Linked DNA regions of Caenorhabditis elegans. The protein of the gene in region 3 interacts with the protein of the main gene of each other region in a pairwise test. Each region holds a gene or a part of one and is shown on either strand. Other genes may lie near its edges. The genes, in order: unc-83, unc-16 and klc-2.

What was found.
Region 1: the proteins of klc-2 (region 3) and unc-83 interact in a two-hybrid assay, tested with the Caenorhabditis elegans proteins (2 studies listed by BioGRID).
Region 2: the proteins of klc-2 (region 3) and unc-16 interact in binary tests that used the Caenorhabditis elegans proteins (3 or more experiments, as listed by UniProt).

The regions. Positions count from the first base shown.
Region 1 is NC_003283.11:6,459,747-6,469,877, reverse strand, and holds the start of unc-83 (Nuclear migration protein unc-83), read right to left. Parts: upstream 4,814-10,131; 5' UTR 4,666-4,813; coding exon 4,594-4,665; intron 4,445-4,593; exon of another isoform or gene 4,245-4,444; intron 3,492-4,244; exon of another isoform or gene 3,311-3,491; intron 2,874-3,310; coding exon 2,775-2,873; intron 1,914-2,774; exon of another isoform or gene 1,705-1,913; intron 1,569-1,704; exon of another isoform or gene 1,429-1,568; intron 1,286-1,428; exon of another isoform or gene 1,146-1,285; intron 935-1,145; exon of another isoform or gene 786-934; intron 1-785. UniProt on the Caenorhabditis elegans protein: Cargo-specific adapter that is involved in nuclear migration during development and thereafter.
Region 2 is NC_003281.10:9,540,715-9,551,101, reverse strand, and holds the start of unc-16 (JNK-interacting protein), read right to left. Parts: upstream 4,808-10,387; 5' UTR 4,744-4,807; coding exon 4,678-4,743; intron 4,432-4,677; coding exon 4,303-4,431; intron 3,723-4,302; coding exon 3,443-3,722; intron 3,352-3,442; coding exon 3,171-3,351; intron 3,106-3,170; coding exon of another isoform or gene 3,049-3,105; intron 2,537-3,048; coding exon 2,415-2,536; intron 2,312-2,414; coding exon of another isoform or gene 2,281-2,311; intron 1,931-2,280; coding exon 1,762-1,930; intron 1,689-1,761; coding exon 1,645-1,688; intron 1,456-1,644; coding exon of another isoform or gene 1,420-1,455; intron 966-1,419; coding exon 867-965; intron 737-866; coding exon of another isoform or gene 719-736; intron 382-718; coding exon 128-381; intron 1-127. Other genes in the region: ZK1098.12 (DUF2975 domain-containing protein), read right to left, coding at 5,234-5,332, 5,381-5,509, 5,558-5,659, 5,703-5,777, 5,828-5,860; ZK1098.9 (uncharacterized protein), read right to left, coding at 6,024-6,145, 6,510-6,651; eif-2Balpha (Translation initiation factor eIF2B subunit alpha), read right to left, coding at 6,821-6,973, 7,022-7,223, 7,283-7,464, 7,528-7,793, 7,846-7,960; Exonuclease mut-7, read left to right, coding at 8,747-8,936, 9,008-9,824, 9,872-10,009, 10,058-10,252, 10,301-10,387. UniProt on the Caenorhabditis elegans protein: The JNK-interacting protein (JIP) group of scaffold proteins selectively mediates JNK signaling by aggregating specific components of the MAPK cascade to form a functional JNK signaling module.
Region 3 is NC_003283.11:5,574,165-5,584,669, reverse strand, and holds klc-2 (Kinesin light chain), read left to right. Parts: upstream 1-5,165; coding exon 5,166-5,283; intron 5,284-5,335; coding exon 5,336-5,652; intron 5,653-5,703; coding exon 5,704-6,623; intron 6,624-6,673; coding exon 6,674-6,782; intron 6,783-7,408; coding exon 7,409-7,567; 3' UTR 7,568-7,933; downstream 7,934-10,505. Other genes in the region: pas-6 (Proteasome subunit alpha type-1), read left to right, coding at 336-485, 532-724, 774-844, 894-1,023, 1,074-1,312. UniProt on the Caenorhabditis elegans protein: Kinesin is a microtubule-associated force-producing protein that may play a role in organelle transport. The light chain may function in coupling of cargo to the heavy chain or in the modulation of its ATPase activity.

The DNA.
Region 1 (10,131 bases), 890 kb from region 3:
TGTTTCCATTGGAACTGAGTTGTGCAAGTAGGTAGGTAACTGTAGGGTCTGGTAGAAAAATGCCGAAATTGGAAAATTGCTAAAACAAAAACTTTCACCAACGACGCTGCGAACAGAAGAAACAACCTGGAGAATGAGTCATTTCAGTGAAACAATGCTTCTTTTCTCCACTGGGTTCAGTTTCAATGGATATGATGCATATTGTCAGCTCTCTGTCAAACAGACCAACGGACTGCGTCGTTTTGCTAATGAATACATAATGTGACATATTTCCAAAATACACTTCCAAACGAAAAGCAACGGAATTGAAGAAAGGTGATGGTGGTGGTGGTGGAAGTCGGATCAGAAGATGGATGGCGGTAAGTGGTTCGATCGGCCCTGTTGATAAAGAGCACACCAGCTCATTATTTTTATTACACACCCCCATGGAAACGTCCGATCAAAACTCATTAATTTAGATTAGGAGATGAGGAAGGAGGAGAAGAAGAAGGCACTTTGTGATGACAGGCAATGTGAAAGCTTTTGAGTAAGATCGGAATGTAATCAGAGTAAATGTGCAACAATATCAAAACATGTGGCGGTTGTAAAATCGAGGAAGACTTTTGCCAAAACGCGAAAACATAATGCCATAAAAATAAGAAGTAACAGAAGGATGGCTGAGAACCAGAGACAAAGACAGAAACCCAGCAATGGAAACTAGAGGTTTCCTCGAAAATTTTCTAATTTTTCATGAAATAGTTTTTGCCCTAATGCTCTAACCTAGAACGAAGAGTACAGTGAGTCTAAGCCCCCCTTCGAGTGGACGAATAAGACGAGTATCGGGTGCGTGAAGTGTACCGCTGGTGCTCCTGTCGCTAAGCATGCTCAACGACAACTCGGGTGCCCGATGGTGGTATAACTAACAATCCGCAAACATGAGATGACTCCGTGTCTTTTCTCCTTATTCTTCTTCCGTTACTGTTCTCGTATTCTTCACGCATGTTCGCGCCCCTATATCTTGTTATTGTTCAATGCGGAACGAATTTTGGAACTAAAGATGGAAGGCTTTAAGTTTGAGAAGAATTTCATTATGTTTTGCTTCAAAAAATTTGATATTTAAGGCAAATGAATTTTACAAAATCAGTTAAAAAAACATTGAAAAAGTTTTGAAAAAAACATAAAAGTGCGCCTCGTTCTAAAATTTGAAAATATCCAGATTCTGATATCTTTTTCTGAGAATTTGGAAACAATTTTTCAAAAACAACATTATAAGTTCACTAAAGAAGTTAAGTGATCTGAAAAAAATTAGCATCTCAGTTATCTAAAAGCGAAAAATAAAGAGCAAAATGTGCCAACCCACTTAAAAGGAAACAAATGATCTGCTCAATCTGTGTCTGTCTGAACGGGATTATGTTACTCCCCAAAAGAAAAGGAGGACGTTCGAATAAGAAAACGAGAGTAACACATCCCAAGTAAGCAAACACTGCCTCAATCGGAACACGTCCATTGGGGATTTGCTGTGGACAGCATTTTTGACAAGAAATTTGCAGCATTTTTGGATTCAGAAAGTTGACATGAGTTTTTCGGGTTACCACTAGATATTTGAAAAATTCAGTTGTACTTTTTTGGAGTGATGAAAATAAAAAGTAATTGGTAATCTTCTAATTACAACCTGATCCCCTATTGTGTCAAAATTTATCATTGAAAAGTTTAAAATTTCTAACAATAACTTCAACTCAATTCCCATCTATCTCTTGGTTCTCAACAATCTCCAATTTCATTCGGAACGGCAAAACTGCGCACACTATTGGGGGCCACTTTTCTGTGGTTCGGGGGGCGAGATGTTATTCGATACTATTTGGTATAATAATTTAGGAAAGCTAATTGAATCGAAATGTGTGGCATTTTCTCAGGAGTCAGTGGCAGATAAAATGAAGGATCTTCATCAAAATGTTTAGTAGTAGAGGTTGCACAATCAACCAACTACATTTGATTAATGGGTGACCTTCCAAACAAACGGCAATTGCCACAAAAATTGGGTGAGTATATTGAATGAGTGTGGGAGGATAAGAAGCACAGAGAGATGAGTTGCAGTGGTCATTTGTTATCTCATTGAAAAAGAGCAAACGATTTGAGGATACTTTCTTTTTAAAAATTTTAATCATCGGATATTGAGAAGTACAACTTTATACCTTCAAAAATTGGTTTTTTTTTGTTGTTTACTCTATGATTAACCGCTTAAATTTAGATGTAGTTCATGGAGTGAACAAAACTTACTAGTTAGAGCAAGAATAAGTTAGCTATGTTTTTGTGAATGGGAAGGGTTTATTTTAATTTATCATTCCTAGATCAACAAGTCTTGAAACTTCAACCAGAAATTAATTCTGGTAAACTTTATGTAAAAACTGTATTTGGAAGATTCAAAAATTCCCTAAAGCACAGGCAAAAGGCTTGTCAAGTGAATGTTTTCAGTTATCCATCACCACATCTGCCGTAATATTTTCGTACCAGGCTTGTGTTCAATTGACAGGCTCGTAACGTTTCTCTTTTTGATAATTGATGACCCCTTAAACTATTGCTATCTCTTGCTCAATCAAATGGACAACTGCCTCAAGTTTGCAAAACTTGATCTTGATATCAGAGGGCTAAGCAAAAAACTTTGTTCAAAGAAAAACTAGAAGAAAATCGAGAAAAACAGGAGGTTCTTTTGAGGCCAGCTACACCTAATTACTCTCCCAGTTTCACTTGATCCATGGCAACCAAACGACACAAGCAATAAAACAAATAAGACTTACTTTTGAGGTGAGGTTGTGCAACGAGTCGAGGATTAAATTGTAGAGCGAGGAGCAGTTCTCCAAAAAGATATCCACTTCCTCAGCCGACGATTCGATGACCTGGAAATTAAATTATTGATCATTAAAATGGGCAAAGTAACAGCTGGAAAGATATCTAGGAGATATTTTTAACGATGGTTGTACACGCGCAATTCGATCTTGTACAGCTGCGTAGTGCAATTTAATAAAACAGTTTATAATTTGATACAAATAAAAAACCAAAAAAGGTGAAACAAGATTTTCAAAAAAATGTAATTTGTTATTTTCATTATTTAAAATTGTCAAAATTATTCTGAAAAATTAAAATATGCGCCCATTTTTCTAAATGACCCTCACAAACGATTTAACGACAATCAATGGCCACCCGCTCTACCAAAAAGAAGTGCTTTGCTTTCAGTGTGACTGTAAAATTGGTAATTCCGAGTCAATTTACGATTTCTCGACCTTCCGGGCGGCCCACTTTGCAATAAAACGAAGAGTAAACCTGACGTTAATCGATTCAATTGCCAAAATTGAGAGGATCAAGGAACATGGCACAGGAATCGTTGTGTAGGAACAACCAAGTTTGGAGAAATGCACTCGAACTTGCAAGTTGCTCTTCACTGCCGAGATGCGCACCTCGAGAAACACTTATGGTATTGGGCACTCGGAATCATTCTCTTCTTACTAACAGCTTTTGCCAAACAAAGTTACTAGTAGTCGCGCTCTGGGAATGTGTGTGAATGGCGTGAGGATTCAATGGTCCGCATATTGTTTTTGGAAACAAAAAGAGAAATATGGGGTAAGTCAACAAAAAAAGGTGTCCATGAATGTGTTGACTTTGCGGTACCTTAACAAGGAAATCTGGGAAATACCTATACTTACTAATAATACAATGAAATATTTTACAAGGAACCTAAGGTGTCAGTCAATTATTTCTCATGCGAATCTTTTAAATATTAAAAAGTATCGCATTTTAAAGGTTTTACACATCATTTAGCGGACCAATTTTGATAACTTTTATGTTTTTCCTGAAAAATGGCTCTCAAAATTATGTGCAAAATCTCTGAAGATCAATATAATTATGTTGTCTGAACTTGATTCTGCGCTTTTTTGCTAATAAATGTACTTAGCACATAGAAATAATTAATATTTTTTAATGATAAATTTTCGCACACTGAAATATGGGAATGTCTTAAAATCTCTTGAAATTTAAACTCCCGTCATCAATAGTTTTACACTTTCTCCTTCAAACTTCTTTTCAAGATAACCACAGTTTTCAATTCAATTTACTTCGTCGTCCCCCACCAGATCAAAACATTCGATAAGAAAAACTAAACGATGCGGAATTTGAATGTGCGACACTAACTCTTTCCACCTCCAGTTATAAATCTTTGAAGCACAGCGAAAAAAAACTTCAGCCGTTCGTCTTTAGTCAATCGAAAGAAAAAAAAAGATAGCGTGGAATTCGGGATTTTTTGCGCCAAAATTGAAAACTCGGCCTCTCGGGCTTTTTGACAGCTTTTTGCAAACAATTGATGGCGCAAGGGTAAATGCTCAAGCATTTTTCAAAAAGGCACTTTCAATAATCAAATAGATTTGAAAAATAAAATTATTTTCGCTCGTTTTGGTTTAGAAAAAAACTACATTCTACTTTGGTTTGAATAAAGAAATCGAACTTTTAATTTTTTTTCTCCTACTTTTAACGAAATTTTACTTTTCAAATGAATTCAATATGCAAGAAAATGCGTTGAAAATTTTAAAGTATTTTTTTTTCGTAAAATTTAAAGCTCTGCCTCACCTTCAAAAGATGGTCCTCCGATGATATATCATTGGGCATCTCGACCTCCGAGAATGAGTCCATTACGTCCATTCGTAACCTGTTTTCGGGTTACTTTCGGTGTCCAGGAATAAAAATAAAAAAATCAGAGAAGTTTGTATCCAGACGTGGGATACTGTACTGGTAGGGGTGGACGATCAATTACGCATCTGCGCAATATGATCACGGATGAGAAACGGATCTGGAAAAATTTAGTTTAGACGGAAAAATACTTAATCAAAACGAAATGAGGTGAAAATTTAAAAATAGAAAAAGTATATACAATTTTTTGTGTGTAGAACAAAATAGGAAAAATTTCGTGAAAAACAAAGAAAAAGAGATTAGTTGTTTCATTGGAGCTGAAAATAAATTTCAAGAAGAGATTTCTGTTGAGATCAAAGTCAAGAAACGGAAATTCAAGTCATATTGAGGATAGAAAATTTGCAAAATATATACTCAATTCAAAACTAGCCTAGTTTACCAAAAATCTATGAAAATTGTGTCGAGCAGTAAAACATCCTTTTAAAGATAATAAAAAATGTTTTTAATAAAAATGTAGAAACACACGAAAAACTTCATAAATGTTTTACTTATGTATAGTACGGTTTCCATAAAATTTGTTAGGCCAGTTTTTGAAAATCCAAATAAAAATCCATGGATTTCATGCCCTGGACAACAAGCCATCGCCCGCAAAAATGTTCGCAAATTAAAAGATAAACATAGAAAAGTGTGAGATGCTCGAAATCTGCCCCCCAATCCGAAGTCTCCGCCTTAATAAACAATAATACTGATGAGAGAGGAGAATCTAGAGAGTTGGGAAGAGAAGCTTGTGATGATGATGGATTATCATGTCATTCACACAGTTTTCGTTTCTTTTCGACACCTGATAAAATAATAAAAGATGATAATTATGATGGAGATATTGTTTTATGAATTTTTATGAAGATTTATGAAGATATGAAAATATGAAGAGATAGGTGTGAAAGTGATAAAAAAGAGATTGGACCAGGGAAATCAGCTGGAAGATTTTATTTTGTGTGAAAAAGTCTCGTGATTTCCAATAAAAAATATTAAGCAAAATTTATGGAAATTATCACAACGAGGTCCAAGAAATTTCCAAATTACTACAAAATAGGTTGTAGCTTTCAAAAAAAATGTAACTTGATTTAGAAAGTTCTGGAAAATATCAATTAACAAAACGTTGGAAAAAATATTTTTGAACTTGTTGAAAATTGAATTAAATTCCTTTTTTTTAAATTCAAGTTTCCACCCATTCATTTTTCAATTAAAATTGAATCTATGGAAAACTGGAAAGGAACAAATCGAAATTTTGAAAATGTTCACGAATAGATGTCCAACAGCACATGGCCCTGACACTTTTCGAATTTATTGGTTTTGTTGCAACAGGAAGTTCCCCCAATAAATGTGATAGAAACACAGTGAAACGATGGGATAATGGACCCAAGTTAATGGAGTCGGAAACGGCAGACAGCCCCGGCTCATTTATCACCAATGTGCGAAACATTGTGATACTAAAGTAGAAAAGGAACACTTTGTAGTGCCCGAATGTTTTACGAGTTTTAGAAATGATTTGAAGTACAATTTAGAAATTTCATACTTGAAATATTCTGAAGAACATTGCAAAATTTCAAAAAGAAAACATTTGTTTCTAGACTAACATCAAAATTACAACGCATTACCAAAACTGCAGAATAAACTTCGAACGTCGTGTCTAATTTGTTTCACAATTAAAACTATTTAGGCCCTTTGTCTCAAATGTTTGAGGGAATCTACGGCAAGTACTTGCATTACTATCAATTTGGTAGAATGTTGGCTCTGCATTGGTTGATAATAAAAAAGAAGAGACAACCGTTTTTATTTGATAATGCAACAAAATGTCGCCCAAACTGCGCTTCTCGTTTGCCCCCAGTGACTCATAGAGGGGTAACACTTTCAAAAACAGTTAGAAAACTTCAGCTCCTTCTCAAAATGCGTAAAGCCATTAAAAAGTTTTCAAAAGAAAATTATGCCTGAGCTGATCAGTTAATTGAAGAATTTTGAGTGTTCAAATGCCAGCAGAGAATTTCCAAAAACACTTTAAAATTTCAATATTAATTGTAAGCACATTAATAGAAATTAATTTAAATTCCAATATTTCAGAATACTTCCTTTTCTCCGAAAACCTTTCAAACAATGTCATCTTCAAAATGAACATGATGCTAATCAGTTCATTGATAATTTACTTGATACTCCTATGCCAATGGAGTCATAAAGGTTGAAAAACTCAGTCGACACGTAAACATTTACTACCACCTGATACTATCTCGATTGCTACTGTGAAAATTGGCAGGAATGCAAGAAAACAACGGGCGCCTGTAACTAAAGGCGGTCAGCACCAAGACAAAAAACGACAAAGAAATGATAATTTGTGTATGTGTGGAAGAAACGCAGACAGTTGAAGAAGTCAAAGACATGATTGAAAAAGTCAAACAGTTTGTGTTGACGACGTGGGAACCATCAGGAGACACACATTCGATTATCGAGCTGTTTTTAGTTTTCTTTTTGAAGAATGATAGTCTAGGGCAAGCGTGTGGGAGTAGAAGGGTTGAGAGGAAGACAGTGCAACATTGCTGGCTGGGTGCCAATTTTTTCAAATGTGAGAAATTGATCATGTGAATATATTTATAGAGACTGACATAGATAGACAGATGATTGAGAAGCAGAGTGATTGTGGGAACAAGATGGATCGTATTGTAATTTTGAAAGGAACACGAGGTTCTATAGAAAATTAGTAAGTAGTGTTTATTTTATTTTAATTGCATAAAAATAATTTTCTGATAGCATCACAAATGTCAAAAACATGTTTAGTTTGGCTCTAGCTAATTATCTAAGTTGAACTCAATAAATGTTAAATTGTGTCAAAAGTTGGGACTAGTTGGGCAAACGATGGGCAAGTTTTGGGAAGACTTTGGAAACATTTGGTCAAGTTTGACCCATTTTTTGTCAAACTCTTGCCAAGTTCAAAAAAATTTTGGACAAAACTTCGGCCAAAGTTGGGTTACACTTCATCATAGCCTAAACCAACTCTTCCCCAAGTTTTACCAAATTTTGTTCTAATAGTAAGCTAATATTTTTGGGCCAAGCTTGGCCAAGAAACTAGAGCCAAATGCCTATTATAACTGTGCTGTTATAAAAAAACTACCACTTTATTTATTGTCAACAAGTGCTCGAAATATTTGCAGCTCTAAAAAGCGGACCAAAAATGGAGTTGAGAGAAAATAACTTCAAGAGCCTCTAGGTTAGCAGAATCTAGACGTACTTTGTTACAGTCCAATACAACAGTACATATAATCCCCAAAAATCACCTTCCATACGCTTCATTTCTAGCGGATAAAAGAAAAATGGGAAGCTGGAATGATCTTTGTGAAGGGTGAGGCTGATGGCGGTAGTACAGATGATTCAGACAACAAACCAATGCTTCCTACACACTTTCTCCATTCCGTCTATTTTTTTTATTTCATCCAGAAGGGATTCGGATTACATTTCCGACATTGATACGAAATTACCATCATAATAATCGAATCAATGTTGAATGGGTGGTCAACATGCGGGGACAGGGAGTGGAATGCAATTCAAAAGGTGAACAGAGACATTCCAACAGGTAGATTTATAGCTCACTATAGTGCTTGGTTTAACGCTTTTTCTTGTGATGTCCCAATTTTTCGGTCAAAAATAAAAGCAGGTACACCGGTGGTCGCGGAAATACGTAAAAACTGCGACTTGATGATTGCTGCAATCACGAGCGACGAGATCGTAAAATGGACCCGTTTATGGTCACGATGACTTCTTTTATTATGTGCTGAGTTGTGACTTTTTTGGTTTTTAACTGGACTTGTACGGGAAAACATCAAAAACCGAAAAGTTATCTAATCCGAGTATGCTTATTTTCTAGTTAAAATGTTATGAATCATTGAAGAAATTTTTCAATTTTCACTACTGATGAATTTAATGCACATCCACAATACGTTATTTTAGGTTTTTTGTTATAGTAAGAATAGAAAGAAACGCACGAGAAATACCAAAAATTATTATATTTATTCAAAACGTTTGAAAAATATAAAAGCGAAAACTCAATATTTAACACTAGAGGCAATTTCAAAATTATTTTTTTTAATTAGGTATGAAAAACTTTAACAGAGAAGAGAAAACTTCCAATATTAATATTATCGTTTTGAATAAATTTTGGAATTTTTTATGTGCTTTAAGAATCTATGTGATGCAAAATATATTCTCTATTTGAATCTTTGAAAACCTAAATAATTAATTTTTTGGGGAATTTAGAGGTACAAAAAATTTGCTTTCAAAACATTATTATAGATTCATTCTTAAAATTTCACTATATCAGCAGTTGGAAAAATTTTAAAATATAGTAGACGAAACAGATCTAGAACGGAAAAAAGTGGGAACAAGTTGTAAGAGACGTCACTATTTTTATCGCCTCTCAAAGCCATTAGAACAAAAAATGCTGCTGCAATTAGCAGATTGTTCAATTAGTGAAAAGACACAGAATGTCAACATTAAAAGTTGAAAAGAGGAAAAGAACAAAGATTTGTTTAGTTACAATTGAATGGAACAAGTAAAAAACAAATCAAGTGTCTTCTAATCAGTGCACAAATCTATAAATGAGCACGAAGTGGGTGGCAATTCACAGGGCGACTGTTCGTCATGATAGACTCACGCACATGCGCGAAATGAGCAATCTGCGTGTTAAACCTTACGCAAACGGTAGCTTCTTTGGCTCGCGGAGTCTTTGCGTAGCATAGAGCATTGCGAGAAGCGTATTATTTTCTCGAAAACTACTTACTTTTGAGCATGAAGGGGAATAGTCGTGTAAGAGATAGTTGTAGGGGAAAATAATATTTTGAAAATTATTAAATCAATCTTTGAAAAAAAAAGAGATCAATCTTTTCTGCCAAAAGAGAAATTTATGTAATTTCATAAATCAATGTTTCTTCAGAAAAACTCTGTAATATACAATCAGCAAAAATTTTAATTTCACCATTGCCAAAATTTTAGAAAAAACCTAACTACATATAAGAAAGAATTTATTTTTTGAGCTTCAAACTTTTGAAGAAATATTTAATTTTTAGGGCAAAAAGCACAAACTTTGCAGTTTATTTCACTCAAGAAGAGTCGTAACACCTTTTCATTTTTTTATAGGAATCTTTTTTTTGCAAAAACAAACAAAAGTGCAAATCACGCGTAAGTGGCGGCGATCCGAAATTGTATAGAGACACTGGGGCGGATCACAGACAACACATACAAACGCATGTCTCGGTTTCAATCAAATCGCATGAGATCAGGCCCTGGGTGCCATGAAAAGTGTAAGGAATATCAGAACGTGATGGCATTTAGTGGTGGACAACAACAAGAGAGAAAACGGACTATGCAAAAATGTTGACATTTGAGACGACGAGAAAATGAAGAGGCAAGGGATCGCATCCACGACAAATTGGCGTG
Region 2 (10,387 bases), on a different chromosome or scaffold from region 3:
AAAAAATTAGATTTTTCAATCTTCCTCGATTTTTTGATTTTTAGTGGTATTTTGGAATCTAGGGCACTCTTTTTGGAATTTTTGAAGCAAAATATATTTTTTACTTCTAAATTTTAAAAAATCAAACCTCTTCTTGTTCATTTTCCTTCTCCATAAGCTTCTGCTTGAGCGTCTTAATCTCCTCCTCATGCTTCGTAATTTGCTCCTGCATCTTCTCACTGACCATTTGTCGGCTCAGATTCTCATCTCTCAGAATCATATTCTCACTGTTCAGCTCATCGACTTGATTTATAAGATCGTTCTTGACAATGTTCAACGCGTTTTTCATATCGAGAAGCTCGGAATTCTCCTTGATCAGGTTCTCGACTTCACGGCCCATTCCTTAAAGAATAAAAGTTGAAAAATCGTGTTGGAAAGTCATTCGATAACACAGGGTAAGCGCTTGCATGAAAATCTTCGAGTTTAAATATATACTAATTAATAAATTTAATAAATATTCTGAATTAATAGCGAGGAAGATTCTCATAAACTATCAATTGCATGCTGTTTTTTAATGTCTCTGTGATGAAACGGAATAAATTTCGGAAAAAATAGTGACGAAACCAATTGAGTGAAACATAAATATATGTGAGTTTAATTTTAATTTCAATTTTAAACTTTTTAATATAAAACAAGTGCTTCAAAACACAATCACGACATTGTTTTTGCTTTAACTTACCAATGAACGTGTCGTTAACTGTAAAAATAGAGAATGTTAAATCAAAAAAAGAGAGAGAGATGGAGATATATATAGAATCGATTATGCAAAACTCAAAAAAAAATGGCCAGCGCTCATGCACATGCTCCAAACTACGTGTGTTCCCTACCCAAACTTCCATCGTCCGAAGTGTCATCATCGTCGAGCATTTCATTTGGTCGATGTCTTCGTGGTATTAATCCAAGACCATTCCAATCCGATTCGTCATCTGACAAAACACAAAAGGCACATCAAGTAAATACAATACAACATCTAGTTTTTAGGTTGAAACCAAAATTTTGAGGGAATAGCGACTAAGTTGATAGACATTCAGAAATTTCAAAAATCACGCCACGCCCAAGGTCCGACATCTACCGGGTTCCGCCTCTCACGCTAGCAGTGAGCTCAGATAAGATGAGAGGCAAAACCATTTTATGGGTGTGACCTAATTTTTAAATATTGTGTGTACACACTTACTGTGTCTTTAGAGGGTACCGAGATTTTGAAAAAGCTTTCACGTGTTTTCTCTACAACATAATCTATATAAAAGGTGCACGGGGAAAGTGAAAAAATGCATGCATTGTAGACTTCAGTGTGGTGAAATACCGGACAAAAGCTGGCCGAAAGCAAGCAAGAACAAGGACCACAAGGACCAATACAACATTGAAAACTTAAAAATTTACCCGCTGAGGCGAACTCTGCTGGATCCACTAGATTTCCTGTCAAATTATGTGTGGATAATCGATAAATTGTCAAAAATGAAAAAAAGTCCCCGTGTTTGTGTGATTTGAAGAAGAAATTAGGTTAGTGTGAAAAAAAATGAAACGACACACTCTAATTAGTGATGGACAATAGATAAATTAGACGATTTCACTTGATTTTTAATTATTAAATACAAAAAAACCAACCTGTGAGATCAGCACCGAGCAAATCGTTATTTTCCTTGGGATCTCTGAAAAATTGGAATAGATTTCAAAACTCTTATATAAATTCCTAATAAAATTTTAAAATCATAATTAACTTACACAGAAGTTGTCTCGTCAGCTTCTTCCTCTTCTGATTGTTTCGGTGAAGCAGCTTCTCGTTTAGGAGTCGGCTCTTTGGTTGTAATTGGTGAAGTCAACGCATCAGCAGATGATTGTGGAATATCCCTGGGTGATGGTTCGATATCTGATGAGAATTCGTCTTGCCAGTCTGGAAAATTAGTATTTTAAGATTTAAAAGAATGAGGGTTGCAATTTCCATTGAGAAAAGGTGCGGAGCGGGTTTTTTTTCACTTTTCAACAGGAAACATCGTACGGAATACAATTAAAAATGGTTTTTTAATGGGAAATTTAAAATTTCTTTCCAACTGAACTGGTTTATTTAAGCCAAAAAGGTCTAAAAATTGAGCAATAAACCAATGCAGTTGGAAAATAAGTGAATTTACAGAAAAAAATCCGTTGGAAATTTCCTGTTAAAAAAAGTTTTAAAAAAACGCGCGGCGGTTGCGAAAACCCGTGCCGCACCTTTGCAGCATGGAAATCGGAAGAAAACTGGCATACCAATAAAGGTTAGTTGAGGATTCGAGTTCATGTTAGTTAAAAATTATCGGAAATAAATAAATAAACTAAATTTTGCGATATATAGAATTTTTTGTATTTTTACATATTTGTGAAGGGTCGCGTAAAAAACTCACCTTCGTTTGTGATGTGATTTGCAAGATTAACATCCATCGTGGTTGATTGTGTCATATGAGCAGAAATAAGATCAGATACTCCACGAATTGATGATGCATCCACAGAAGCAGCCATGCCCATTCTGTAATTTAAATAATATCTTTTAAAAATTAAAATTTTGATTTTAGGGGACCGAACCAAGTTATTAAAGGTGGAAGAAGTGTTTGCCTAACAAAATTCTTTTTGGAAAATGATAAAATTGGGAATTTTGCTTTAAATTGTATATCGTAATGAGCGAATTTATACAATTTTTTTAAACAATAAATATAATTGAAGCATTTTCAAAGATCTATATCGTTTGCGGGAATTTAACAACAAATATCGCATTTTTTGCAAAATTGGAGAAAACATAAAAATTTAGAAAATTTTTTTAAACAGTAATTATGATCTCTTTTCTGACATTTAGAGCAGTGATAAAAAATTTGGAAAATCAAGAAAATAAAATAAATTCAAAAAAATTGGTGATTTTTATTTCTTCATGCGCTTCAAAATTTGGAGTGAAGTGGAGGATAACCAAATCGAAAAAAAATCAAAAATTTGAAAAATAAAAAAACCTTCCCGAAAAATAACAAAAATTCCAGACACAAAACTCACAATGACAAATTACTTTGATCACCACTCTTATGTAAGCGATGTGATATTGGAAACCAACTACAAACAACGACACAACAGTCAAATATTAATCACTTTTTTAAATTTAATTAAATTAAACTTACTTGTTTCGAAGTTGCATATTTGGCAATGGCATATTCTGCATTAATTCGAATTTTTCACTTCCCATTAGATATTTTGTACGTTCCATGTGATCTACATGGGTTCGTAATAGAGTATTATATCGTTCGTGGAGACGATCGAATTCGAGCTTTTGTTCCACTTCACGTTCTTCCAGACGACTGGCTGAAAAATAATACTTTTTTTAAAAATTTATCCAAGAAAAACACAAGAGTTAATAATTGAGGTGACAATTAACTAACTGTAACAAACTAACCGTGATCAGTGGCATTTTTGGCTTTCAACTCGAGCATCCTCATTATTGATTCAAGTGACTCTATCTTTTTGTCCAACTCTTTATTCTGACCAATCAACGTGTCTTCTATTTCAATATATTTCTGTTCTGTCTGCTTTCGAAGTGCTTTTTCACGTTCATATTGTGTCTGAAGCTGTTCATTGTCCTCTTTGAGCATTTCAAGTTCTGCAGTCTGCTCGTCACGTTCCAAATAGGCAAGATCCAATGCTTCGAGCACATTTACAACCAATGGCATCAGAGTCTGAAAATGTTTAGTTTATTGAATGATAATAGAGAAAGAGAGAAGAAAATTAGCATAAATTTACCTGCTGACTGGTTTAACATACTGAATTTAGTATTGAAGTAGAGTAAAAACATAGAATTTCAATTTCTGATCAAAAAATGGTCTAAAAAGTCCGAATTTCGTAAAAATATCATTTAAAAGTTCTTCAATTAATTATGACGATTCTATGTTTTGAAAAATATTTAACTATGAGCTAAAATCTACAATTTTGCATATTTTTCCGTGCCACAGCGGTCGGAAATTTATTTTCATTCGATTTTCGCTTATTTTGTCGTTTATCTCGTGTTACTTCGTTGAGTTTGGTACATTTGAAGCGATAGGCAACTAAAAATAAGCAAGATCGAAATGATGCTCAATAAAAATTCATTTCCGGCCGTTGCGACACGGAAAAGTTGGCAAAATTGAAGATTTCAGAAGAAAGAAAGCGTTTTTTTTTTCAAAACCATCAGTCTTATTATGAAATCCGGTTGTTTTGGGACATTTTTTGCGAAAACAGCCATTTAAATAAATTTTAAAGTAAAATTCCGAAAAAACTCACTTTCACGCCATCTTCTCCGTGAACTTTTATCATTGTTTCCAACTCTCGATAAATTGCCGAAGCCATTGTCTGCACTTTATCCGACATTGTTCGATGCTCATCTGGTGAGCCGGGGCCGCCGTACACAATCTGAGATAACATTTCTCCCATCAATATCGAATGCAGCATAAAAAAATCCTCCTATTACCCGTCCCAACTGTTTTGTTGTGTCTAGCGACAATCAATAATGAAGAGAGAAGTGCGGAAGAGAAACATAACGGTATTTACTGGCCGAGGAATAGTAGTAGGGGGCGACGATAAGAGAACCGAGATAACTATCGGGAGACGCTGCTGCTGCCACTCGGTTGCAACAATGGTTCATTTGCCACCACTTACCTCAGACGGTGTGCTGCTCGTAATTGAGTCTGCCATCTCATTCACCGGTGACAAATTGCAAGCCATTTTTTCAGTCGTTCTGTCGATTATTGGTCCATGTGAGAGCAAGTTGACGAGACAATTCTACAAATTATGTTGCTTTTGTGCTTTGCAATGAAAAAAGCTATGTAAATAAAGTGCCACTCCTTCGCCGCGGCGACAGAAAATCAATAAAAGAAGGCTGGGCGCATGTGTGAATCTCGTGGATGAGAGAATACGGTAATTGGCGGAAGAGGAGCGTTTTGTGCGTCACGCACTACACGCATGTCGAGTGGGTTTTGCCGTTTTGCGCTTCAGAATTTATTTTTCTATTGAATTCAGAATAAAAACACTTCATTAGAAGTTTTGCATGAATAGAATTTCAATTTGCGCCGCTATTACGAATTTTTATATAAACTCTATCAAAATTATGTGTTTCTTAGGCTATTTTTGCGTCAAAACCACGAATTTAGTGTGACAACATGTGTTAAAACAATGAAAAAACAAATACGAAAGAATCAGTTTATTACGAAATAAATCAACGTTCATCATTATCTTCCTCAGGATATTCCGGGTGGCTCAGGAACGCTAGAAGCACTTGCACCAGAGAAATCATCAGAACAATTCCCACTCCGACCTGAATTGTTGGATTAAAGAGAAAATCATGTCGATTAATATAATTTACATCCAGAAGCACAATGCAGTTTTTAATTGCTGTATGCTCGTGGGGAGCTTTGGCACTGAATGTGTACACGATGAAGAAGATGAGCGAAAGCAACGATGTGACTGGTGCTGGAGCATGATAGATGGCCAACTGAAATTTTTGTAGAATGTAAAATAACTTTCTAAAACTAGGAATTACTTTTCTTTGGCTCATTGCCAACATGCATTTAGATCGACTCAAAAACAACAGAGCGATGAATGTGATGACTGCGAGTACGAGGAAAACGCTACCTGCTGAGAGCTGAAAACGTAGAGTTAGGAACGTCTTTAAGATGAGAATTTACCATCCAAAATGACGCGAGTCCAGATACGTACCCCATTGGAATAGTTCCCTGGAGTAGAACAGTCACACTAATCATCTGAAAACCAAGAAGATTCCCAAATAATCTGCTGAAAACTAGAAACTCACAATATTTGCCACAATGAGTTTGTTCAAAAGCATATTTCTACTTTACAAAGATTTGTAACCGTATAACCCTTTTGCTAGATTTGAATTTAACGAAATGAGTAGGAAATCAAGTTAAAAGTGTTGTCTATTTTATAAATTAAAAGAACGTAGAAAAGGTCTTCACGAAGAAATTTAAAATTTATTCAAAAAAAAAAAATCAGACTTCTTTCTTGGCTTTTTTCTTCGGTTTCGACGAGGATGTTTCAGTTGATCCTCCACATTCTTCTTTGATCGTTTGCATTCCTTCGATACCGTTCAGTTTTTTCATGTCTTCTTTGCCTGAAAATGTGCAAATTTTTATTCTTCAGCATTACTATATTATCCAGATAATTTTGCGATTTTCGTCATGCTAATACGATACCCGGTCTCGATACGGCAAAGTTTTTGATAGATCCAAAGAGGTGTGCGCCTTTAAAGAGTACTGTAATTTCAGATTTTCGTTGTTATGGAATTTGCATCGATTTTTCATAGTTTCAGATAAATAAATAAATATTTAAATATCGAAAAACTAATAAAAGTCTAAAAATTCGAAGTACAGTACACTTTAAAGGCACACACCTTTCAGAATTTAACAATTGTAGCGTCGAGACCGGGAACCGTACTTTCTGGGTAAAAATTGCACAATTTCGCAACAAAAACTAACCTGCAGGTTTACAAACCGCACTTTTTGAATGAAGAACTGTCAGAATCACGAACACGATTGTAGTGATGATTCCGATACCTCCGAAGACAGCCGAAACTATCATTAGCATGCTAGATGGCAAAATAAAGTGCTTTTCACTCATCTTTTTGATGAATGAGCGTTTTTAAAAACTCGAAATGAATAGTTTTGGGTTCCACGTTATTTTTTATTTTTGTAAAAGAAAAAAACCAATCATAATTATAAAAAACAAAACAAGAACAAATTAATTTAATTTGATTGAATTAAATACACGTTCAAATAAATTTCTACCCTCAGATATACATTTTAATGAGTTCTTCTCCAACAGCTTCAGGCTTCATTGCGCCGACATCAGTAATGATCAGTGTCAGAAATTCGGGTGCGGTGTAATCCACATCGGGATGCTCCAATTCTAGGTTGTTTCTCTCAATTACTGATGTTCGATACTGAAATAATGAAAGATCTGATTGAGTTATTTGATATAAATTGATTACTTTGAATTCTTGGGGAATATCGGCCTGGTTGAGTGGGAACTCCCGTACAAACTTGATAGTTTCAGCGCAAACATAGACGGGAACATGCCGTGATTTTGCGATGATACAAACATTAACAGTTCCAATTTTATTGATGATTCCACCGGTTTCCATGACTCCTTCAGCGCCAACTAGAACTGCTTGAATTCTTTCCATGACATATCTTAAAAAATAAAAAATGTATATACGTTTTTCTTATTGTTTTTTATAATTTCCACTCACCCCACACAGCTATCTAGAACTAAAGTAGTTGGAACTCCATTCTTTTTCAATTCTTCAAACACTAGTTTTCCTGAAGCATCCGGTTGCGATTCGGTGACCCAGACATGAAGGTGATATCCACTTTTGTGAGCATCAAGAATAGTTTCCAGAACCACTTTGCTGTATGAGTGTGTCAGAATATTCTAGAAAATACAAAGATTAAAATACATTAAATAGGAATTATTTAAATAGAAAAAAAAACGTACCATATGATGAGTGAAAAATAGACGAGCGCACTTGGAAATTTTGGCTCGAGAACCTCTGACATTCTTTATAAATGAGCGTGCTCGTTGGCGATACAGATCAAGAACTTGAGAAAAATCTTCTTGATCGAGAAGAGCAGCTGGAGCCAGAGAAGTGAATCTGGTGAACAAATCAGCGGCACTTCGAATTGATGTTGAGCTGTAGTCCGTTTTCTCGAGAGCAGCAACTACTTGATTTAGCTCATTTTGAAATTCGGCAACGGTGGTGGCTGTAATTAAGCAAAAAATTAATTGCCTAAATATTCAAATTCAGGAACTTACCGCGACTCCGGTCTAAAACCTCGAGCAGTGTTTCCACTGTGGCTAGACTCGTTGATTTGCTTGGATCGTTTTCAAGTTTTCCACGGAAAGATGAAATAATGCTTTCTTGAACCATGTTAGATGGAAAAAGTCTGCAAAAACAATAATGGAGAACGTTTGTCGTAGAAAGAAGAAATATTTATAGAAAAAATTTAATGAAAAAATAATGATGTAAACGCGCTCTATCGTTACGCAGAGAAGATAAGAGTTAGAGAGTTAGACAGTTTTGATAGTGGCAAATTTAAAAACAAAACATTTTTTTACTTATGTATTTAAAAGGTTTCGTGAAATTTAATTTATTTTCTCAATCTCGAATAAACATTTTAAACATATTTTTTGAGTCAGTCAGTTTACTTTCTACTCTCAACTATTTACGCATCTAAAATCTCCCATTGTGTGGCGAACTAAATAGGATAATAAATAATAATTTTCCTTTTCGAAACTTTTATACTATAATTAATTCCCTCAATTTGCTCCATAATCTCCATTAATTTTCCTCGTGTAATTGCTTCGTAGATCATTTGAATCGCCGCCGTGATACAGTACTATTCGCTAACCTGCACATCTTAAATACCATCGACAATTTTTTAAAAATTCATTTTCCATTTTGTTCATTGATTTCTTGGTTCTTTTTCCATTATTTTTGCCTCAATTTGTGCAAAAAGTGCTGGATATCGAATAATCCACAACGCTTTTCTGTTGTTCTTTCGGTTTTTGGGCCGTTTCTAGATTTTCCTCTCCGTAATACGAATTCTCGTGGGGAAACACGTTTTCCTTGTTCTTTGATTAATTTCTTTTGTACTAACTTTTCGACAAATATTTATTTATACTTTTTACAGAATCAAGCTTGTCCGTTTCGAAAATGGAAGAAGAACCGTACAAAAGAAAGCTAACGAAAGCCGAGAAAAAGGCAAAATATCGAACAGACTACGCCGAACCGTTGAAGTCACGCCGGGAAGTTCTGAAAGCAATTATGAATGGACCCGAGTCTGAGCGGGAGAGAAAAGTTCGAGCCAAAAATCGAGAATTTTTCAACGAGGACTATAGATCAGGTAAACATTTTAAAGTTCTTTTATTATTAAAAACTTTAAAAAACCCTCATTCATAATCTATACATTTAAAGGAGTCAACATCTACGGAATGGCTGTGGATATGATGAAAGCGATGCCGGATAGAGGAAAAACATCGGGACAAAGTTTGGCGGTTTGGTATCTGGAGGATTTTGGAGTTTGGTTAAAAGAGTCGGGACAGGAGACGGAGCTCAGACAGAAATATCTGACTGGAACTATTCAAATAAACGCCTTAGATGTGTGCACAATTGGACAAAAGCAGCTTCTCAGTGAAATCTTCGATATCACCAAAGAGAAATTCACTGAGGACATTACACAGTTGCTAGATGCTGCCATCAAGAAACAAGACTTCTCCGTTGCTGCAGATATGGCTATTCAGTACAATCTTCTACGGGATCATCATTTCGAACATCTTGTTCTTCCATTAATGCTATCTGGCAAAGATCAAACGGCTTATAAATTGATAAGTAACAATGAGAGGATGCAACAGCAGCTTGTAGAGTTTTTTGATCGAATGGTTGGAATCTCAGTGGTTGCCGTTGAAGAGATGCTGAAACCCTACAAGGAAACCAAAATTATGACGATTCCTATGGAGAAATTGACGGGAAAAACGTTGGACAAACTCATTTCGACGATTATCAACAAAAATACTCACGAATACAACTTCTCCAGGGAATTGTCGAAGTTCGCCAAAAACCACTCACAGAATGGGAATCTGAAGGCATTGAAGTTTAATATCAGTGAACGATACGAGAAGGGAAAATCCGATGACAACTATTTCCAGCATATGGTTGAAACTTTTACCAAAGCCGAAGATGTTCGTGAACCTATTTTGTTTTACTTGTGGAGCTCAAATGACACCGAGAAACAGTAAGTGACATTCAAAAAGATTTTTCTTTCTAAAATTCAATTTTCAGAATAGATGCCATCTGCTTTGCTATCTACTTAGGAATCGCTAGTTCCAGCAGCTATCAACTGCCGAATGTTATGAGGGACTTCTTTCGACAACCTGATTCGAAGCTCAGAGAAGCAAAAGAACTTCTAGTGAGAAGAAAGTAATTGTTTTCGATTTCTTCGACTTTTTTAAAACCATTTTTGTTCAGAACACTGCAAGTTCCTCTAAATGGCGAACAATTATTCGTATTTGAGAATGAGCGAAGAACTCAAATCCACATGGTGAAAACTGAATCTGAGATGAATTACTTATGTTCCGAGATCAAATCACTAAGCGACGAGCCAGCACCTGTTTACGTTGGATTCGATTCTGAGTGGAAACCGTCGAATCTTACAGCTGTTCAGTAAGTGAACAATTTCATTCTTAAAATTCCATATGCACCGATTTTCAGTGACTCGAAAATTGCTATCATACAATTGTTCTTCAAAAATTGTGTATGGCTTGTGGATTGCGTAGAATTAGAAAAGGCAAATATGGC
Region 3 (10,505 bases):
TTACGCAGTTTTCACCAGAAGAATTACATAATTCCATGGAATTCCATGCCTGGAAATTTCTTTCACTTTTTGCCGCCAGGTATACGGTAAGCAATTGCGCGTAAAGTGTGGTGTATGCGTACTCGCTTATTTTGTCATCCTTTCAAATTTAGAACTCATTTCAGAGGTTTTCTTTCGACTTCTAAATATTTTTTCTTTGTTTCTGTGGATTTAAATAAACTCCATATGTTTTTCTAACTCTTGGTTCATCTTGAATCACACTCTCTGCTTATAAAACTGCAAAAAATGGCTAAAAACTTCAATAAATTGTAATTAAGAGCTTTTAGGTTTGAACCATGTTCCGCAACCAATACGACGGCGATGTAACAGTCTGGAGCCCACAGGGACGTCTTCACCAAGTCGAATATGCCGTTGAGGCGATGAAGCAAGGTTCGGCAACTGTTGGAATCAAGAGTGAAACCCACGCTGTCATCGTCGCCCTGAAGGTTGGCGAAACAACATGTTAATTTCAATTAATTATATTCGTTTCAGAGAGCGCAAAACGATTTGTCGTCTCATCAGAAGAAAGTGTACGAAATTGACACTCACGCTGGAGTTTCCATCGCTGGTCTCCTCTCCGATGGTCGCATCTTGGCTCGCTACCTCCAAACCGAGTGCTCGAGTTGGCGTTGGGATTACAAGCAAGCGGTTCCAATCAAGAAGCTCGCTGAATCTATGCAATTGAGTAAGCGAATTTTGGAAGCAATTTTCTCAAGACATTGTTCTTATTTCAGAACTTCAAGCCAATACACAATATTATGGCCGTCGTCCATTCGGAGTTGGAATTCTGATTGCCGGATATGACGTAAGAACATCATAAATATAATTGTTCTTTTAAATATTTTTTTGTTCAGAAAGATGGAGCACACATCATTCAAACTGACCCATCTGCTGAAGTCGTCAGCATGCATGGAACTTCAATCGGAGCAAGATCTCAGTCTGCGCGCACTTACCTCGAGAGAAATGTTGATAACTTCGAGAAATGTATTTATTTCGGAATATAATTGATAAAATTGAGCAATTTCTTTTTTCAGCAACTCCGGAACAATTGATTGTCCATGCTCTCCTTGCTCTTCGCGACACACTTCCAGCCGAAGAAAACCTCAACGCTCAGAATACGTCTATTGGAATTGTCGGGAAAGATTCTCCATTCAGTCTTCTCGAAGATGCTCAAGTCGCCGTTCATCTCAACCAAGTTTCCACACATCCACGCACAACTGGCGGAGCAGCAGCAGCAGCAGCTCCAGGTGGCGCCGAACCAATGCAAATGTAGATTCTAATTTGAATCACAGACCATGTGAATTACTTTCGTCTCCATTTCTTTTTTATGTGACCCGTATAATTTATCGCCGGTTAATCTCCCTCTCGTTCCCGAATTAAATTATTTTCCTGCTCCAAAAGATTGATTACATATTAATTTCCTTTTTCCGTTCAACAGTCATGTATATGTTGCAGAAAGAACATTAAAGGAAGCACTTCTCGTCATTCGCGTCCATGCCTTCTGTCCATTAATGATGGATGTCTGCGCCGTAGTACACCACGCACCCGCCGTCTTCCGCTATTCCCCGGCGAGCTGCTCCACGGCATTATTCCATAGTTCTTCTCTTCAGTGTTCCATACACTACTACATCACTCAAATTGTAAATCAGCGAAGAAAGGGGAGCAAAAGAAGAAGAAGGGGAGGAGTGTGTGTGATGCAAGAGAGAAGAGTTTCAAATTTCGTCGAATTGAGATTGAAATCTTCTTTGTCGCAGTCAACTCTTTTCTTCGACCCACTTCTGCCTTTTTTTGTTTTTCGATTGGAGCTCTTGACAATTTTTATACATTTTTCTTCATTTAAAAATCCACAAATAGGTAAAAAAGGGAAGTAGGATTTACGGATCTACTGGAAGTTGTTTTTCTAACAAGCGGTTTTGCTTATTATGATCACGAGCAAAACCAAAAATGTTTCCCAAGCGAACCACAATCAATGCCCGACACCATTGTGTGTGCCGCTTCTGAATGAACTGAATAGAATTCTCTCGTTTCTTCCACCAATTCTTCTTTCATTCCTTGTGCCATTTGTCTGACAAGCGAAGAGAGAAAAGAAGAGCGCCCTTAAATGAATTTGTATCGAGCCAATGGCATCGGAGGGCCATGCGGCTCTGTGTGGCGTGCGTTTCCTCACTTCAAGCACTGCCGCCACCAGCACCAGCACACAATGTTCTTTTCGGCAGGAGGCGAGGTCTATTCAGCACTTTTTCTTCACTTTTAGACCAAGTTTTCGAACACTTTTGCACCGAGTGCACACATTGATTCGTGGAAATGATTTTTTTATCCTTGAAATTGTTTTTCTGAAGAAAATATATCCTGTAAATTTAAAAGTTCAAGTGTTTATTTAAAAATAGTCAATTTAATTTTGGAAAATAAATTTTTTTTAACTGCAAATAAGCTTGTTCGGTCGACTTATAGGCTGATTTACTCATAAAAATTTCAATTCAATGGAAAATATTATTCATTTTTACTTAGACGTCTAAAAAAATACATTTTATTTTTCTTTTATTATATTTAAATTTATTCAAAACATGGTGCAATAGAAGCACGAGCTACAGTAAGTTGCACAGTATGCCGGAAATTGTTTTCTTTAGACGTCTATTATTTTTTCGTGAACAGTCAAACCCCGCTTTAAAGGCACACGATCTTTTTCTGAGTGGGTCTCGACACGATCTCAGCTATAGTGATCACAACAAGTTCCAAATTTCACAAAATTGCTGGTCTTACTTTACGAGCATACTTCACGGGCAAATTTGAGCCAAATAGAAAATTTCTGATTCCCAAAAACAATTTAATATGCCCTTATTATGTAGATGTTTATAAATGGGCATTTCTGTCGAGGGTTTCGCCACGAGAACAGCGAGTATAACTGTATTATGCAATAGTGGCTCATAAATCGACACGAGCTACAGTAACTCCTTGCCCGCGTGGTGAGACCTTGCGCGTAAGATATGGCGAAAATTATCATTTACAGACGTCTACGTAATACATGCTGAACCAAAATATTGTTCGATATTTGACACTAGAGATAAATAACCGTTTTTAACTATAACAAACAGGCCTAAACTTTGATTTTTTGGTAGAAATATATATGCTTTATACATGCACCTCGTAATAAAATGCTATTTCCTGAACTTTTCAAACTCTTTAACTCCTTCTTCTGTTCATCATAAATCTAAACTGAAAAGTTTAAGACACTAATCCTGGAGCCGAATACGAAAAAGTGCTCGTGGAAGCTTTCAAGCTGGATACCATCATGAATTTGGCCGGTTCTACTATTCAGGCATATCGCCAGTAAGTTATATTTTTAATTTGAAATGAGAATTGGAATTTAGAGTGTTGAATCATTTTCTTATCACATGCATTACTCATCAAAAAATGTTTGAAAGTTATTTCCGCTAGGGCTGTAACAAAAAATGTACAGTACATTCTAAGCGGATACCCTAATTTTCAAAAAATTTCAATTTGCATCTACCGTAAAATAAAAATAAAAATCGAAATCTACTTTCCTAGTCCTCTAATTCAAAATTGCAAGATCTTATGACAAGTTTTCAGAAATAGTGAATATATGAATCAAAACTCTTTGCCCAAATTCTAATAATTCATGAGAAGTTTATGTTAATATGTTTTATTTTTTGGTTTTTATATTTTCTGAAATCCCACCTTTCTCTTGAGAAACAAAGCAATTTCGATACTTTTTTGCATATGAAGCTAAACAAATCCTAGATGTATTCTTCATAAAAACTCAGGTGTCCAAACATTGCAATTAACTATGAAAGGATGCATCTTTCCAATTGTTTCGCAATTCTTTCTCGCCTCCGTCTCTTGCTCTCTCATTTCCTCCATGTTGGACGGACGATCAATAGTTTCTATGTTGTCTCTAATATTTCTATGATCTCTCATCAGTGGCTGCGCACGTCTCGCTGTCTATTCGCCGACACGACGAGAGCGGGCTTTCGGTTAATACAACCAAACACTCTTTCCGAACAACGTTATGTTTTACTTGTCCACACTTTATTAGCATCTTTATGTTCAGAACCATTTCTTATGAGCTTTTGCAGGAGAGAAATTATTAGAAAGTTAAAATTTGGTTTCATTTCTGCTTATATTGCGAAATTTGTACCTATAGTGTTGCACATATTTAGCTTATCTTTGACATATTCCAAAAAGTTTCTCAGTTTTCTAAAAGTTTTTCCAAAATTGTTCTAGTGCAACTCAACCTAGCAAAATCAAAGAAATATATTAGTTCTACCACGAAATGCTATTGATTTTCAAAAATTATAGCGCATAGTGCAGCCTTGATTTTTTCAAATTAAAAATTTCAAAAACCGAGTAAATAAAAATTACAAATTTTTAAAAGAAAATATCAATCCACGATGATTTTTATTTTCTCTAAAACGTGTTGAACATTTGGAACATTTTTGCTTTATTTCAACTTATTTCAAAGCAACGTTTCGGTGTAAAATAAGTTTATCGTTATTTTGTGAAAATGTGGAATGTCATTTTAAAGGCACATGCGTATTTTCTCAGGGGGTCTCGCCACGATCTCCTGTATTTCAATAGCAAATGGCAGGGCTGTTATTTAAGACGCCCTCCTCAATCTTTGAGAGCTCATTTTGGCGTTTTTTTTAACTTCAGCCATAAAATTGAAACTGGATAATATTTACCTAAATAATAGATTTTCCAAATTCTTGCACCAAATAGATCTATGGTATAAAACTGTCAGGCTGATTTTCAAATTTTTGCATTTTTTAGAATTCCAAAGTGAGCAGTATTCATGGAAAAATATTTTTTGAATCTAGTTCTACGTTTTTGAGAGAATGCAAGATTTTAATTAATTTTTGTTGTGCCATACTTTGGCATTATTTACATTTAAAAGAAAAAAAGGGTTAATTTTTTCTGATAAATCTGAAATTAAAAAAAAAGACTATCGCAAAACTTATTGAACGACCTAATAGCTATGATCTACATAGATTCAACTGTTTTTACTCACTGAAAAAATTTTCTCGTTAGCTACCAACACTTCTCGAACTTCTTCCAATTACATTTAATAGATTTAAAATTTCAGGCGAAAAATCGAGTCGCTGGCGAAAATGTCAAACATGTCGCAGGACGACGTGACGACGGGCCTACGTACCGTTCAGCAGGGACTTGAAGCTCTTCGTGAGGAACACTCGACAATTTCGAATACTTTGGAGACTAGTGTCAAAGGTATGGCTTTTTTTACGACGAGTTGAACATTTACTAAAATTCAATCATTTAGGTGTGAAAGAAGATGAAGCTCCATTGCCGAAGCAGAAGCTTTCACAAATTAACGATAATTTGGATAAGTTGGTGTGCGGAGTTGATGAGACATCGTTGATGCTGATGGTATTCCAACTCACTCAAGGAATGGATGCTCAACATCAGAAATACCAAGCTCAACGGAGACGCTTGTGCCAGGAGAATGCGTGGCTTCGTGATGAGTTGAGTTCAACTCAAATCAAACTTCAACAGTCGGAGCAAATGGTTGCTCAATTGGAAGAGGAGAACAAGCATCTTAAGTATATGGCATCAATCAAACAATTTGATGATGGAACTGTAAGTTGAATTTTTCGAGGAGCATTCTTAACTTATTTTGTTTGTTTTCAGCAAAGTGATACTAAGACATCTGTCGATGTTGGACCACAACCAGTCACAAACGAAACTCTTCAAGAACTTGGTTTTGGACCAGAAGACGAAGAAGATATGAATGCTAGTCAATTCAACCAACCAACACCAGCCAACCAAATGGCGGCTTCTGCTAATGTTGGATACGAAATTCCAGCTCGTCTTCGCACACTTCACAACTTGGTCATTCAATACGCCTCCCAAGGTCGTTATGAAGTTGCAGTTCCATTGTGCAAGCAAGCTTTGGAAGATTTGGAGAAAACGAGTGGTCACGATCATCCAGATGTTGCCACAATGCTCAATATTTTGGCACTTGTCTACAGAGATCAGAACAAGTACAAAGAGGCTGCAAATCTTCTGAATGAGGCTCTCAGTATTCGTGAGAAATGTCTTGGAGAAAGTCATCCAGCTGTTGCCGCCACTCTCAACAATCTCGCAGTTTTGTTCGGAAAACGTGGAAAGTTCAAGGATGCTGAACCGCTTTGCAAGCGTGCTCTTGAAATTCGCGAGAAAGTTCTTGGAGATGATCATCCAGATGTGGCCAAGCAACTCAATAATCTTGCTCTTCTTTGCCAAAATCAAGGAAAGTATGAAGAAGTCGAGAAGTATTACAAGAGAGCTCTCGAAATCTACGAGAGCAAACTTGGACCTGATGACCCGAATGTGGCAAAGACCAAGAACAATTTGTCATCTGCTTACTTGAAACAAGGAAAATATAAGGAGGCTGAGGAGTTGTACAAGCAAATTCTCACCAGAGCTCATGAAAGAGAGTTCGGACAGATCAGTGGAGAGAATAAACCAATTTGGCAAATCGCTGAAGAACGAGAGGAGAACAAGCACAAGGGAGAAGGTGCAACTGCCAACGAACAAGCTGGATGGGCAAAAGCCGCCAAAGTTGATAGGTATTATGATTTTTATTAGAAAAAAATAAATTAAACAAAACTGATTCCAGTCCAACCGTCACAACAACTCTCAAGAACCTTGGAGCCCTTTACCGGCGACAAGGAAAATATGAAGCCGCCGAAACATTGGAAGATGTCGCCTTGAGAGCAAAGAAACAGGTATGTAATGATGTTTTTTCTGCATTCATGGCTTCTCTATCTAGCACGCTTTACTGCATTTAAAATACAAAAGTTCAGAAAAAAAATTTAGAAGTTAGATATTAATGTTGTAAAATGTTGTATGCGTCCCCGATACCCCAGTGACAAGAATTTGCTTCATATTTACATGTATTTTTGGAACTTAAAACATTGACAACAGTTGTTTCAAACCAGGGGAGTGCGTCAAATTTGCCGAATTTGCCGGTTGCCGAACTTGCCGGACACGGTAAATTTCGAAAATTGCCGCACACATCAAAAATTCGACAATAAAATTTTGACCAAAACTATGTTTCAAACTAACCCGAAAATTAGATGCTGCCTGAACAATGTCTTGCCAACTTTTGAACCAAAATTGGCAAATACTGAAATATTGCACAAATCTGAAGCTCATTCAAACGAATTGTTTTTTAAAATTAAAGTTTAAATTTAATACGAAGCATATTCTTGTCCTCCCCAAGCCCCCATCAATAACAATTCCAGTAACAAAAAAAAACACATAAAACGCTTATTTTTGTATTTTAGTGATAGTGATGTGCTTTAGAATTTGGTCACTCGTTTCCTCTTTTCAGTATTGTTTCCTCTTTCAGCATGAGCCATTACGAAGTGGAGCGATGGGCGGAATCGATGAAATGAGCCAGTCGATGATGGCTTCTACAATCGGTGGATCCAGAAACTCGATGACAACGAGCACATCTCAAACTGGATTGAAGAATAAACTAATGAATGCACTCGGATTCAACTCTTAAGAGCATCTCTTTGCAGCACTGACTGAAAACCGCTTATCGTTCTTGTATTAATAAGTGCTCGTTGATTCAAGTTCCAAATTCTGAAATTTTGTCTCAGATCTACGAAAACTTGCTTTTTTCTTCTTTCGTTGTGTTGTGCATGATTCTTTTTTTTTTGATTGATTTTTCTTTCTGCCCCATCCCCTCATTCACAAAATCTTGTTCATAAATAATAGGGTTGAATAATTGAATGTTTCCTTGTCCGCCCCCACCAACTTTTTGGTAAAGCTTTATATTGTCTGCTTCGAATTTTCTTTTCAAGCAAAAAAAAAAACATAATTATAACAAGCTGAAAAATCGTGTTGTTGTAAATAAAGGGTTTATTTTTGAATTCTGCTTGTTACAAGAAAAAGAAAACTTCAATTTCAGATGTCCGAATCTCGAAGAATGGAACGATCCGTTATGTATTGATTGTTGCTCGACATTGTACTCCGTCATCAAGCTTTACACTTCTTCGCAAAATTCCAAAAGTTTACAAGTTCTCATTTATTTATATGTATCAAGTTCTAATTAAACACTGCTTTTCTATTTTTGTTAGCTATTCGCATAATAACATTTTTTTTTAATTATAAAAATGTGAACCCGATTAAATTGGAAAAACGTTTCGAGAAAAATTATAATTGCAAAGATTCATGATATTTATTCAATAAGACTTGAAAAACATTTACCCTGATATTCAAAAAATTAACAAAAAACAACGGTCAAGTTGGTGATTATGGGAAGGGGTTTGTATTCTATGAAGAACACGGAGAGATTAACATGAGCGGTACCAAACCCTGGTACCAGGGCTTCCTGCTGGCAGGAAATTGTCAAATTGATAACCCATAATCTCCGGACCGAAGTGAAAACTTTAGTAGTCAACGTTGCTTATATACCCAACGATTAGCAAGCGACCGACGTTTCGAAAGAAATGACAACCAAACATTGGGCGGAATTTCGTAATGTTTGCAATTTGAGGTGTAGTGGTGTATAGCAGTGGAAAAATGATTAGAAAACTGTAGTAGGCACACAAACTCCAAACAAGTCCTGACGTTGCTGGAGTTGACAATTTTCTGATAACACTTTTAAAAAACCGGGATAAAAGCGGTTAACGTAGAGGAAAGGGGGAGCAAGGCTAATGTGGAAAACGGTATATGCTTAGTTAGGGGTAGCCGACAAATTGTGGAGTATGTACTACATCGACAAAAATAAATATCACAAAGCTTAATTCAAGAGATTATTTCGCTGAAGTATTCAAAGCGTCGAAAAATATTTTTTATTATGGTGACATGAATTTATGATTTAATTTTTTAAAAATATTTTTTCTCCTTTTAAAAATATGAAACCCACTCCAATAATATTTAGGTTTTTCAAATTTTTAAAGAAATAAATTGTAACTTTTATTTAAGAAATTGCGAGGCGCGTTTAAATCTGATACTCAAATGCGTAAAAGAAAATTGTAATTGAAACAAAAAACGTGTAGAAAAACTGTGATGTTAGATCATTTCACTCGGGAATCGCTCGCCCACTATGGGGGAGTCTACGCAAGGACAACGCAAGGACAAGAACAACATTCTAATGGAATGGAAACGATTGCCCGACTGCACCAATTCTAGTTCAAGCGAACAATGATAACTTTTGTATTCTGTATTCCTTCACGTCTCCCAGCGAGCGTAATAAATTATTATTATTATTATTTCATCATTATAGGAAATTTTTGAACTCTCCTCTGTTTACAAATACCAATTTAACAAAGACTGTATTACTGTTTCAACAAGAAACAAGAGCTAAACGTCACGCGTAATGACCGTCTATTTCTCTTTCTCAATGACTAATGCATAGAGTGCCATAGATATGTGAGAAACTGTTTTCAAAAAGATCAGTGAGATCCAGTGATCTCGTGGGAGGGCACTCAAGAAACTGAGAACTATTTGTATATAAATAGAGCGAGGAATGTGTTGTTTTTTGTTCGTAAACCATCCCTCTCGCCAGTCGACACTTTCCATGTACTTTGCTCTTTCACTGTAATAGATCTTTAATCAACATACATTGTACCATTTTGCAAATCCACATTTCGATATTTGTCATCTTTGCTAGATTGTTGCACGAATGAGAAAAGTGTATCTTGTCTTGTCCTTTTTGTGTGTCGGATATGCTTTCAAGTTACACGCCACTTCAACAACAGTTAGACAGGGGAGTAGTCAAGTGACATCAAAACTTATCCAAACAGATTTTGATTTGTGATACCACTTGTATGATTTGGCTCTGATATAAAAATATCATTGAAAAGTCACGGAGAGTACCTTTTTCTCTATTCTGGTTACCATCAGTTGCTCCTAACAACTGGTCATGCTTCATGCAAATTCAAAATGAAAGTCTAATGTAGGCGATATTTTGGCATTTTTTCAAGCATGTAAAATGATAAAATGTAAGGTTTCTCAGTAAAGGCTCTCGCCAAAAAGTAGAAATGTTAAAAACGTACGCAATAATATCGTGGCAGGCACTTTCCATGCCTCCGTGACATCATCATGCCTGCCTACTTACCAGGCGAAGGACGCCACGGTAGGTATTCTTTTTGACAATTTTTTGAAGATGCACATAGTTGAATTAATTTTAAAAAATCTCGGTACTAGTCCTGAATCACCCCGCCACTTTTTTTTTTATTTGTGTATTATTTCCCCTCATTTTAATATTATCCATTTTAATAAAACGTGATGTCCATTTTCCATCTTTAGGCTTAGAAATGGTTATTTCCTAAGCCTAAAAATACAAAAACTCCACACGTTTTTATTTGAAAAAAAAAGAAAAAAAGTGGCGGGGTGATTTAGGACTAGTACCAATATCTCTATCATCTCCAAAGCTAAGCTTGATTCTTCTTTCCAAAAAAGTTTCCAACTAGTTAATTTCAAAAATATTTTAA